Linked DNA regions of Tribolium castaneum. The protein of the gene in region 2 purifies or fractionates together with the protein of the main gene of each other region. This does not show direct contact. Links are inferred from orthologs where the notes say so. Each region holds a gene or a part of one and is shown on either strand. Other genes may lie near its edges.

What was found. Proteins that work in one complex are often made in the same cells at the same time.
Region 1: the proteins of sl (region 2) and vap purify together in Homo sapiens (affinity purification with western blotting; 3 studies listed by BioGRID and IntAct, with this or other methods). This does not show direct contact. The link is inferred for Tribolium castaneum from reciprocal best matches to the Homo sapiens genes PLCG1 and RASA1.

Annotation. Positions count from the first base shown.
Region 1 is NC_087400.1:10,161,457-10,166,489, reverse strand, and holds the start of vap (ras GTPase-activating protein 1), read right to left. Parts: upstream 3,502-5,033; 5' UTR 3,303-3,501; coding exon 2,823-3,302; intron 1-2,822. UniProt on the Homo sapiens protein: Inhibitory regulator of the Ras-cyclic AMP pathway. Stimulates the GTPase of normal but not oncogenic Ras p21; this stimulation may be further increased in the presence of NCK1.
Region 2 is NC_087394.1:2,081,243-2,086,682, reverse strand, and holds part of sl (1-phosphatidylinositol 4,5-bisphosphate phosphodiesterase gamma-1), read right to left. Parts: intron 3,518-5,440; coding exon 3,340-3,517; intron 3,334-3,339; exon of another isoform or gene 3,105-3,333; coding exon of another isoform or gene 2,277-3,104; intron 69-2,276; coding exon of another isoform or gene 39-68; exon of another isoform or gene 1-38. Other genes in the region: uncharacterized protein LOC135266330, read left to right, coding at 39-68, 2,277-3,104. UniProt on the Homo sapiens protein: Mediates the production of the second messenger molecules diacylglycerol (DAG) and inositol 1,4,5-trisphosphate (IP3). Plays an important role in the regulation of intracellular signaling cascades.

The DNA of each region.
Region 1 (5,033 bases), on a different chromosome or scaffold from region 2:
TACAAAAAATAGTATAAAAAACTCAATTCATAAGACTTTGAAGCAATCATTCTTTCAAAAAACTCATGACTGAGGCCACTGGTTGAATTCGTGCTTTAAGACTGCTCTTATGAAATTTGTTTATTAATATACTATTACTTCCCAAAAGTGGTATTCACTATAATATCCAAAATTTTCTTAATTCTCTAAAGCATTTTTAACCAATGAACTGTCGTCTATGGTGCAGTTAGTGCATTTAATATCGTCTTCGGTTTTCCATGAGTCCTTAACTTTCTTTTTTTTAATTTAAAAATAACATTTTATTTTTAAATTAAATTAAAAAACATACTCAGTTGGTCATAATCATAACACGAAATAATATATTTAATGTCTTTCTCTATTAAAAAATTATGATAACAACAATGAATTATGAAAATGACAAGTCTCATCTAAGTATTCAATGTTGCCAAATTAATTTCAAAATCACAGTCCAACGTGTAAAGCTTAAAAACTTTGGGTAAAGCTCAAATACTCGTACATTTTTGTCCTAATAACATCGCTATTCTCTCTTATCGTCGCAGTTTGTCTTGCACCCAAGATAAACTATACAGGGTGTCTCAACATTGGCGAATTCCAAGTTCAGAGCATTGTAGAGAATCATTTCAGTAGTCCAAATATAGAAAAAAAAGATTCAGGGCTTCCCACAAAGATACATTGGTGTGAAGATCACTTTTGTATCGCTTTTTCTTCAAATGCAAGCTAAAAGTTTCAGAGTTTATTATTATTTAAGAATATGATTTCAATTTATTATTTATGTTGATTGTGGAGAATAATAATGTAAAACAACTCAAAAAATTTGCTTTTTTCAAAGTAAAAAAATTTTAAATTTTTGTAATCTGCGGTTTCACTTTTAAGAAAAATTACAAAATTTTTTACTTCATTTTTACTTTTTACTTCAAAATAAAGCTAATTTTTCAAGAAATTGTTTTACATTATTATTTTTCACAATCATCTACACCATAAATAAGAATAAACACTGAAATTTTTAGCCTGCTGTAGAAGAAAACGCTATTTAAAGGGCACTTGAAGTGAAACTTTAAATAATTGTATCCTTGTAGGGAAACCCCGAATCTGTATTTTGTAATTTATACTTTCAATGAGAGATCTAATTATTAATAACTATTTTACAACTTTATCAATCTTTTTTCAAAAAATAATTTGGTAAAATGCGATGTTGGCGTTTTTATAGTTTTGAAACAGCTGATATATTTGGACTACTAAAGTGATTCTCTACAACACTGAAGTTGAATTCTCTTAACTTAACTTAACAAAAGAAAGATAAAAAAAAGCTTAATTAAAGTGTAAGTAAAACACAGTGTTTAAAGTTGAATAACTTGAAAAAATTACATTGAATAAAGAAACATTTTTGTTTATTAGTTGAAGACAATGGAAAAATGGTTCAAAATATTTTCTCAAAAAATGAATCTTCAATGTTAGAGCTGAGCCACCCTGTACAGGGTGATGCATTTTGGATATCCAAATAGGAGATCTCCGAAACTGAAAGGTTTTGGAGAAAAACGAGTGACACATTCTCAGATCCGTTGTTTGACAAAATAATTTTTGTCAAACCCGCATCCCGCTACCGTCTTTTGTTTGCAACAAAAGTTGACATTTTAGCGAAATCTTAAAAAATTCATATCTTCCTTATTATAAAAAATACACATTTGAAACAAAGATATAATAATTATAATAATCATAAATAATTAATCATTAATAATAAATAATTATTAATAATAAATACTAATTAATTCAAAAACAGCAAAATAAATTATTATTTGAATTTTTGCGATGAATAAAAATTATTTGTTTTTAGATTTAAAATGGCAACCTTACATTGTCATTCTATTTTCTAATTAAACATGAAATGTCGGAAAAAGAAAAATCTTATTAATTGTATGATTGCTTGACAATAAAATTTTATTTTACAAAAAATGTCAATCCAAACACCAAAATCAAATCCTATCTGCGTCACCTCCATTGCACTTCACTAAATTATAATCAAGTGTCATCAAATGGTAGTGACACATCGTTTTAAATTTTCTGCACATTTTTTATGTAATTAAAATCTGCGACGATATTTGTTCAATTGAAAATAATTTTAACATAGCTTATTTTGATAATTTTACATTTATTACTTTAATAACCGTTCACAAAATTTCTAGATTATTCACACCTTTTCTGTGAAATAACTTTTCCATGGCCAACTACGTTCAAATATTTTGATTACATTTTTTAGCAAAAGTATATAAAAATATAAAACTGTATTTATATTGTTCAGAAAAAATAAGCTTTTCGAAAATGTCATAGCCAACTATGATTCCTATTTAAAAAAAATACAACTTTATGTAATTATAGCTAAACGAATGAAAAAAATCTACTGATAACATTATTATATTATCTGTAAAAAATGCTTGTATAATGTCTTTGTTTCAAATATGTATCTTTTGTAATAAGGAATTCGTTTATAAGTAGAAAACAAAAGACGATAGGAGAATGCGGTTTTGACCAAAATTATTTTCTCAAAAAAATGGACCCAAGGACGTATCACTCGTTTTTCTCTAAACCTTTTAGTTTTGGACATCCCCTATTTGGACATCCAAAATGCAGCACCCTGTATAATAATGATTAATGAATCAATTACTTCCAGGTCACCTATTGTCTCAAATGTCAACACAATAATAACCAGCAATTAAAAATAATTGTTCGTTTGCGATTTCGCCAAATTGCTCAATTTCCATCCATCTATTATCATTTTCCACACACTCTTATCACAACCAACTGACCTTTTTATCATTGACTGGCTCCGGAGGTGGCACCGGATGCACCAACCGTTCCCTCTTCAACAAATCACTCCTCTCCGTATAATACCCAACCAGATCATTCAAAGACACAAACTGTCTTCCCCCAATGTAAAAATCGCCACAAACGGCCGTAATCCGAAAATGGTTCATTCCCGTGCGCCCCAAAAACGACAACACATACGAGCCCGGCTTCCGGTCACTCTCCCGCACCAGATAGCTCCCCAATTTGTTCGAAATCCAGAGGCGCTCCTCGGCCTGGTACCGGTCCAGCCGTCCGTGGTACCACAGCGTCTCCGAGGGGGCGAACGGCGCCGAGTCCCCCAGGTCGGTCTCGTCGGGCTCTGCCTTGGGGGCCCCCTGCGTGTCCTGCTCGTTGCCATCCTCGCTTCCGGTGCTCGGCGAACCCAGCTTATCTTTCATCACAGCCCCATGTCCGCTTCCTGCACGTATCAAATCGGCCATTTCGACACTTTAAACCATAACCACGCTCGGAAATGACGCGCTGCACCACCTAACCTGTGGCCGATCTCATGAATGGTTTATTGATGTCTCGCGAACCGTTTATTTGATTCTGTGAGGGGAACGAACACACGAAATTATTTTGACAAATTCCGATGAGTGACTCAGGAAGGCGGCGCTGCCAAGTGGGGACACAACCTGACAATGGATGGAAATTGGCCATTGAAGTAACAAATATAGAGCTTTCCAATCATAGAATAAGAGAGAGGAAGAAGCGAATTTCTCTGTCTATCCCTCGTTTTTACCGAAAGCGCTACCTAACATGTAGTAAACGAACTAACTCGACAATAGCAGAAAATTCAGGACATTTTATTCATGTTCCATATTTAAGAGAATATTAATGTTAAATTAATGTTTTTGTACCCATGGACTGTTATGAGACATTTTAATAATAATAATAATAATAATAATAATAATAATAATAATAATAATAATAATAATAATAATAATAATAATAATAATAATAATAATAATAATAATAATAATAATAATAATAATAATAATAATAATAATAATAATAATAATAATAATAATAATAATAATAATAATAATAATAATAATAATAATAATAATAATAATAATAATAATAATAATAATAATAATAATAATAATAATAATAATAATAATAATAATAATAATAATAATAATAATAATAATAATAATAATAATAATAATAATAATAATAATAATAATAATAATAATAATAATAATAATAATAATAATAATAATAATAATAATAATAATAATAATAATAATAATAATAATAATAATAATAATAATAATAATAATAATAATAATAATAATAATAATAATAATAATAATAATAATAATAATAATAATAATAATAATAATAATAATAATAATAATAATAATAATAATAATAATAATAATAATAATAATAATAATAATAATAATAATAATAATAATAATAATAATAATAATAATAATAATAATAATAATAATAATAATAATAATAATAATAATAATAATAATAATAATAATAATAATAATAATAATAATAATAATAATAATAATAATAATAATAATAATAATAATAATAATAATAATAATAATAATAATAATAATAATAATAATAATAATAATAATAATAATAATAATAATAATAATAATAATAATAATAATAATAATAATAATAATAATAATAATAATAATAATAATAATAATAATAATAATAATAATAATAATAATAATAATAATAATAATAATAATAATAATAATAATAATAATAATAATAATAATAATAATAATAATAATAATAATAATAATAATAATAATAATAATAATAATAATAATAATAATAATAATAATAATAATAATAATAATAATAATAATAATAATAATAATAATAATAATAATAATAATAATATAATAATAATAATAATAATAATAATAATAATAATAATAATAATAATAATAATAATAATAATAATAATAATAATAATAATAATAATAATAATAATAATAATAATAATAATAATAATAATAATAATAATAATAATAATAATAATAATAATAATAATAATAATAATAATAATAATAATAATAATAATAATAAATAATAATAATAATAATAATAATAATAATAATAATAATAATAATAATAATAATAATAATAATAATAATAATAATAATATCTGCAACAGTTACAATAGC
Region 2 (5,440 bases):
AGAGCTGTTTTGATTAGTAGTTGGTTGAGCTTTTGAAAATGAGTGGGGTCTTGACGGTGTTCTTGCTGGTAAGCTCACCCAGATTTATTGATTTCAAGAATTGTATTTAATTGAAAAAAATGCCAATTTCATTTTTGGAATAATAAAATTAACAATTTTCAAGTTAAGCAGGCAATGTTTTAATTTTTTTATTATTATTGACACCATTTTAGTTTTTTTTAAGAAATTCACAAAATTTCAACAATTTCGGTAAAAACTAAAAATTTTTTTAGTTAGATTCAGAATATTTTAAAGAGAAACATTCATTTTTAAAAATCTTGCCAAAAACAAGGCATGATGTTCCAAAAATTTTTCTAGAATTTCACTAAATCCGAGATATTTCTTGATCAAAGCAGAAAATTTGCGAACTTTGTTGTGAAATGCATAGTTTTTTTGCTTGTTTTGCTCGATTCGGAAAAAATACTAGATTTAGAAGATTTTATTCGAATAAAGCACGTAGTTGTAAAATTAGTCTTGAAATGCCTTATTTTCAGCTATTTTGCTCAGTTCTTTCACCAAGAAATTCACATAACAAAAAAATGTAACATTAGAAATAGTTTTGCTTGTTTTATTGCTTACCAAAGAAAAGAATAACTCGAGAAATAAATGTGAAAGTTTTAACTAAAAACTAAACGTAATATTTGTTTTAAAATGCATTAATCTTTACCTGTGTGTGTAAAGCCTTTTGTTTAAATAAAAACAAGAAATCGCAAAATTAGGTTCGAAAAATTCGCCAAGCAACTGAGAAAATTTAGAATTTTTTTTTCAAACAGATGATTTGTAAAGTTTTTAAAACAGAAAAATTCTATTATTCGAATTAATCAATTTTTTATTCGTCATAAACATTACTGTTTTTAAATATTAAATTAAATAAATAAATCAAAACAATTTCAATATTATTGATAAAAAATCATAAAAAAAACATAAAATCATAAAAATTAGGTTTGAACTGCGCAATTTTTGCGACCAAAATTTTTTGGAACGACCTAAATTAGAAAAATTGGCCAAACCAAGGCAAACTATTTAAAATTCTCGTTGAAATGAGTTAGTTGTGTTTGCCTTGTACGATTTTTGAAGTATTTAACAAAGAAAAACTCTACTTTTTCAATGATTTCTTTTTCGTATCTGTTCCTAATGGATAATTTTTTCTACTTTCGTACGAATTTAGGGTATTTTTTAACCCCGAAGTTCAATTAATTAGAACAATTTCAGTAAAAACAAAGCAGATAATTTATAAAAAAATATTTGAAATACATTGTATTTACGTCTGTTTTGCTAAATTTTAAAGTTTTTAAAATTACAAAGTAGGTTCGACATTTTTGCCTATTTCACTCGATTTAGAAAAAAACAGAGCAGAAAAAATTAGAGTCTTCTTTGTAGCGAGATTTTTAAAGTATTTAAAGCTGAAAACTTTTCAATTTTTCAAATAAAAAAGACAATATTTTTCGATTTTTCATTCACTTACCTTTTAACTTTTTTAACTTTTAAAAGGTGAAAGTTTATGTAATTTTTTATATTTATTTTTTTAATTTATGTTAGAAGGCACTGTTTTTATACAATCCTATTAAGAAAATCTTTGAGCAAGAAACAGTAGCGTATCTAATTCTTTTGCGATTTTTTAAATTTATTTTTTTAATTTGTTAAAAGGCACAGTTTTTATACTTAAAAAATTAATAGCTTGTCTGTTTTGGTCGATTTTATAGTTTTTCACAAAAAATAAAATCACAAAAGTAGGTTTGAACTGCGATATTTTTGCACACTTCACTCGATTTAGAAATTTTTTAATACAGAAACTTACCAAATACGAGAAATTTCGCCAAACAAAAGCAGATAATGCGTAAAATTTGCTTTAAAGTGCGTTACTTTTGTTTGTTTTACTCGATTTTTGAAAAATTTTAGCGGAGAACTCACTAATTTTAATAATATAAAATTTTCTCAAATTCTGTAGCTTTCTAATATCTTTTGTATTCTTTTAAGATAATTTCTGAGCAAGAAAAATAGCATAATCTAATTGTTTTGCGATTTTTTTAATTTTCATTTTTTTAACGAATTAATAATAATAATAACAATATTAATAAAAAAGGGCTTTTATTAAATAATTAAAAAACAATACGCAGATGAGGAAGCGAAGTCTAGCTTGGAGCTATTCAACGTAACTTCGAAAGAAAAATAATAGAAAATAAAATAATAATAATAATAAAAATAAAAAAGTTAAATAAAAAAATATTTTTTTACAGCTTGCAGCTCTGTCAAACACCCTTTCTTACCCCACCTCCCACCCCTTACCCGACCGCGTTTTCACCCCCACCACCACCCCCAACAAAACCGTCTCCGACCTCGTCCAACGCCAAACCGACACAATAAAACAAATTATTTCAAACCACAATCGTGACTATCCCATCATTACCAAATACCCTGCTGATGACAAACAAAAAAAACCCGAAACGTCATTAGAAGACCTCAAAATCAAATGCCAACACTTGGCCCGTCTCGCCACCACGCCACCGCCCCGTAACACCACCCCCAGCGGCCATTACATCACCGCCGACGGTGTCACCATCCCCAAAGCCGCCCCCGTTAAATACATCAAACTCGAGCCTGTTATTTTACAAAAGACGATAATGAGCGACGGACGCACGGTTTACTATTGGCATAAAAGTATCCCGAGTCAGATTGCTCCCGCCCCCACAACGACGCCGCCCCCGACGACAAGCGCCGTCCCCGGTGGTTATAATTTTCGTAATTTTTTTCCGTCGTTTTACCCGATTGGAGGCTCTGAATCGGTTAGTCAGACTACAACAGAGAAAACGACAACCACGGAAAAACCGCCCCCAGAAGAAGGGGTGCACTTGTACCAACAACAATTGAAATTTGTGGTTCCGGTGCCGTATTCACCACCGGAAGAACAAACAGTGAGGAAACCGTGGGATTTTGACCAGTTTGCCTATTATCCGAAACCGCTTCAACCGGAAAATGTTAATTTGCAAGTGCCTTATGTGCCCACCTTTCATGTGATCAAGGCAGTGGCAATCCCTGATCAATATGAAGGGGGCGAAGACGTCTGATCAACTGATTTGGTCACAACTTTTTAATTAAAAAGACTGATTATTGTAATGTATATTTTTTAATTCATTATTTTATTGGCTTAAAAATTATGTATGTTACTCGTGTTCTTATAGGTTTAGAGTTTAAAAAAGTATACTATATCTGATTTTTTTATTATTATTATGTAGTGGGGTCGGTTTCGTGCAATTAAATGTACAAAAAATTGTCTTTCGAATAAAGTTTTTTTGAACTTACCATAGTCATTCTTTTGACGGCCTCCTCGCTGATTGGATAACTCAATTTGACGCGTCGATAAAGTGGGTGATTTTCGTAATAGTTGATTAATTCGACTAAACTTTCGAATTCGACGTTGCCAATGGTGTAGAGACGACCTTCCAGTTTGATTCGACAGTGTTTGATTTTTTTATCCGCTCTGAAATATTTTTTTTTGCTATATTTTACGAAGAAACTTCGCCAGTTCACAAAAACAAAGCGGAAAATTTAGTTATCAAAATCACTAAAATCCCAAAAATCTCGTAAAATTAATGAAAGAGATTGTAAAATTCCGTCTAAAATAATTTTTTACAAGAAATGAAGACAGAAAAATGAATAAGTTGAAATGGTTTTTCATTCATAAAGTTAAATGAATTTCAGACACTTCGCCAAAATAAAAATAAAATCGCAAAATTCGTTTTAAAATGCATTAATTTCGCTCGTTTAATTTTCAACTTTGTTAAACCGTTTTTCTTTGAGAAACTCAATAAATTTTGACAAAAAAACGGACAAAAAATGAGTTATTTTTGTGAGTTTTGTTCGATTTGGTCAATTTTTTACCAAAAAAAAACATTTTATCCAAAAACAAGCATAAATTTAGTCTTTTTCTCTTGATTTAAATGGTGTTTCATTGATAAAGTTAAATAAATTTCAGACACTTCGCCAAAATAAGAAATAAAATCGCGCTAAATTCGTTAATTTCGCTCGTTTAATTTCCAATTTCGTTAAAGCATTTTTTCGAAAAACTTATTGAATTTTGTTTTGTTCGATTTGGTCAGTTTTTTATTGAAAAAATCTAATTAACTCAAAACTTTTTATCCAAAAACAAGCACAAATTTAGTCTTTTTCGCTCGATTTAAATAGTTTTTCATTGATAAAGCTAAATAAATTTCAGACACTTCGCCAAAATAAGAAATAAAATCGCAAAACTTTACGCTTTATTACAGCGTTTTTCGTCAAGATACTCATTGAACATTGACAAAAAAAATAGGACAGAAAAATGTGTTATTTTTGCGTTCTTTTTTTCAATTTCAACAAGACTAAAAATTGTTAAGTTTACACTATACACTAAATATGTAATTTTTTTTTGCTCGGTTTCCATGTTTTTCATTAATACATTCGTTACAACTTTCTCAAAACAAGCCTAAAATGTTTACTTCGTTTGGTCTGCATGTTTTGCTCTAAAAAACTAACTGAATTCAAGAGATTTTATTAAAAAAGTGTACAAAATTTCTAACAATTTTTTTTTTTTGGCCATAGTTTCTCTCAATGGAGCATTTTTATAGAGATGATTTTACTACAATGCTAAAAAACCTTCACAATAAATTATTTTTGCCCGTTTTTTGGCGACAAATTAAATTCCAAAAGTTTCCATTAAAAACAAGGTCGAAAATTTGAAAAGTTGGGTCTGAAATTGGTTTCGTTGGTATAAAGTATTTTTTACAAAGATAGGGAAAAAACTCGTAAAACTTGCGTTGAAAACATTTTTCACCGAGAAACTCGTCAAAAAATCTTGTTTTTTTTTGGCCAATTTCTCCTAATTACAGTATTTTTATCGAGATCATTGCATTAAACTTTGCTTAAAAACCTTCACAATATATTACTTTTGCCCGTTTTTTGGCGACAAATTAAATAAATTCCAAAAGATTTTATCTAAAACAAGGTCGAAAATTTGAAAAGTTAGGTCTGAAATTGGTTTCGTTGGTTTCACTCGAGGATTTTTTACAAAGTTATTTAATAAATTTGAAAAACTTCGGTAAGAATAGGCAAAAAAAACTCGAAAACTTGCCTTGAAAACATTTTTCACCAACAAACTCGTCGAAAAATCTTATTTTTTTGGCCAGTTTCTCCTAATTACAGTATTTTCATCGAGATGATTGTATTAAAAAAACTTTGCTTAAAAACCCTCACAATATATTATTTTTGCCCGTTTTTTGGCGACAAATTAAATAAATTCCGAAAGATTTTATCAAAAACAAGGTTGAAAATTTGAAAAGTTGGGTCTGAAATTGGTTTCGTTGGCTTCACTCGAGTATTTTTTACAAAGTTATTCAATAAATTTGAAAAAACTCGGTAAAAATAG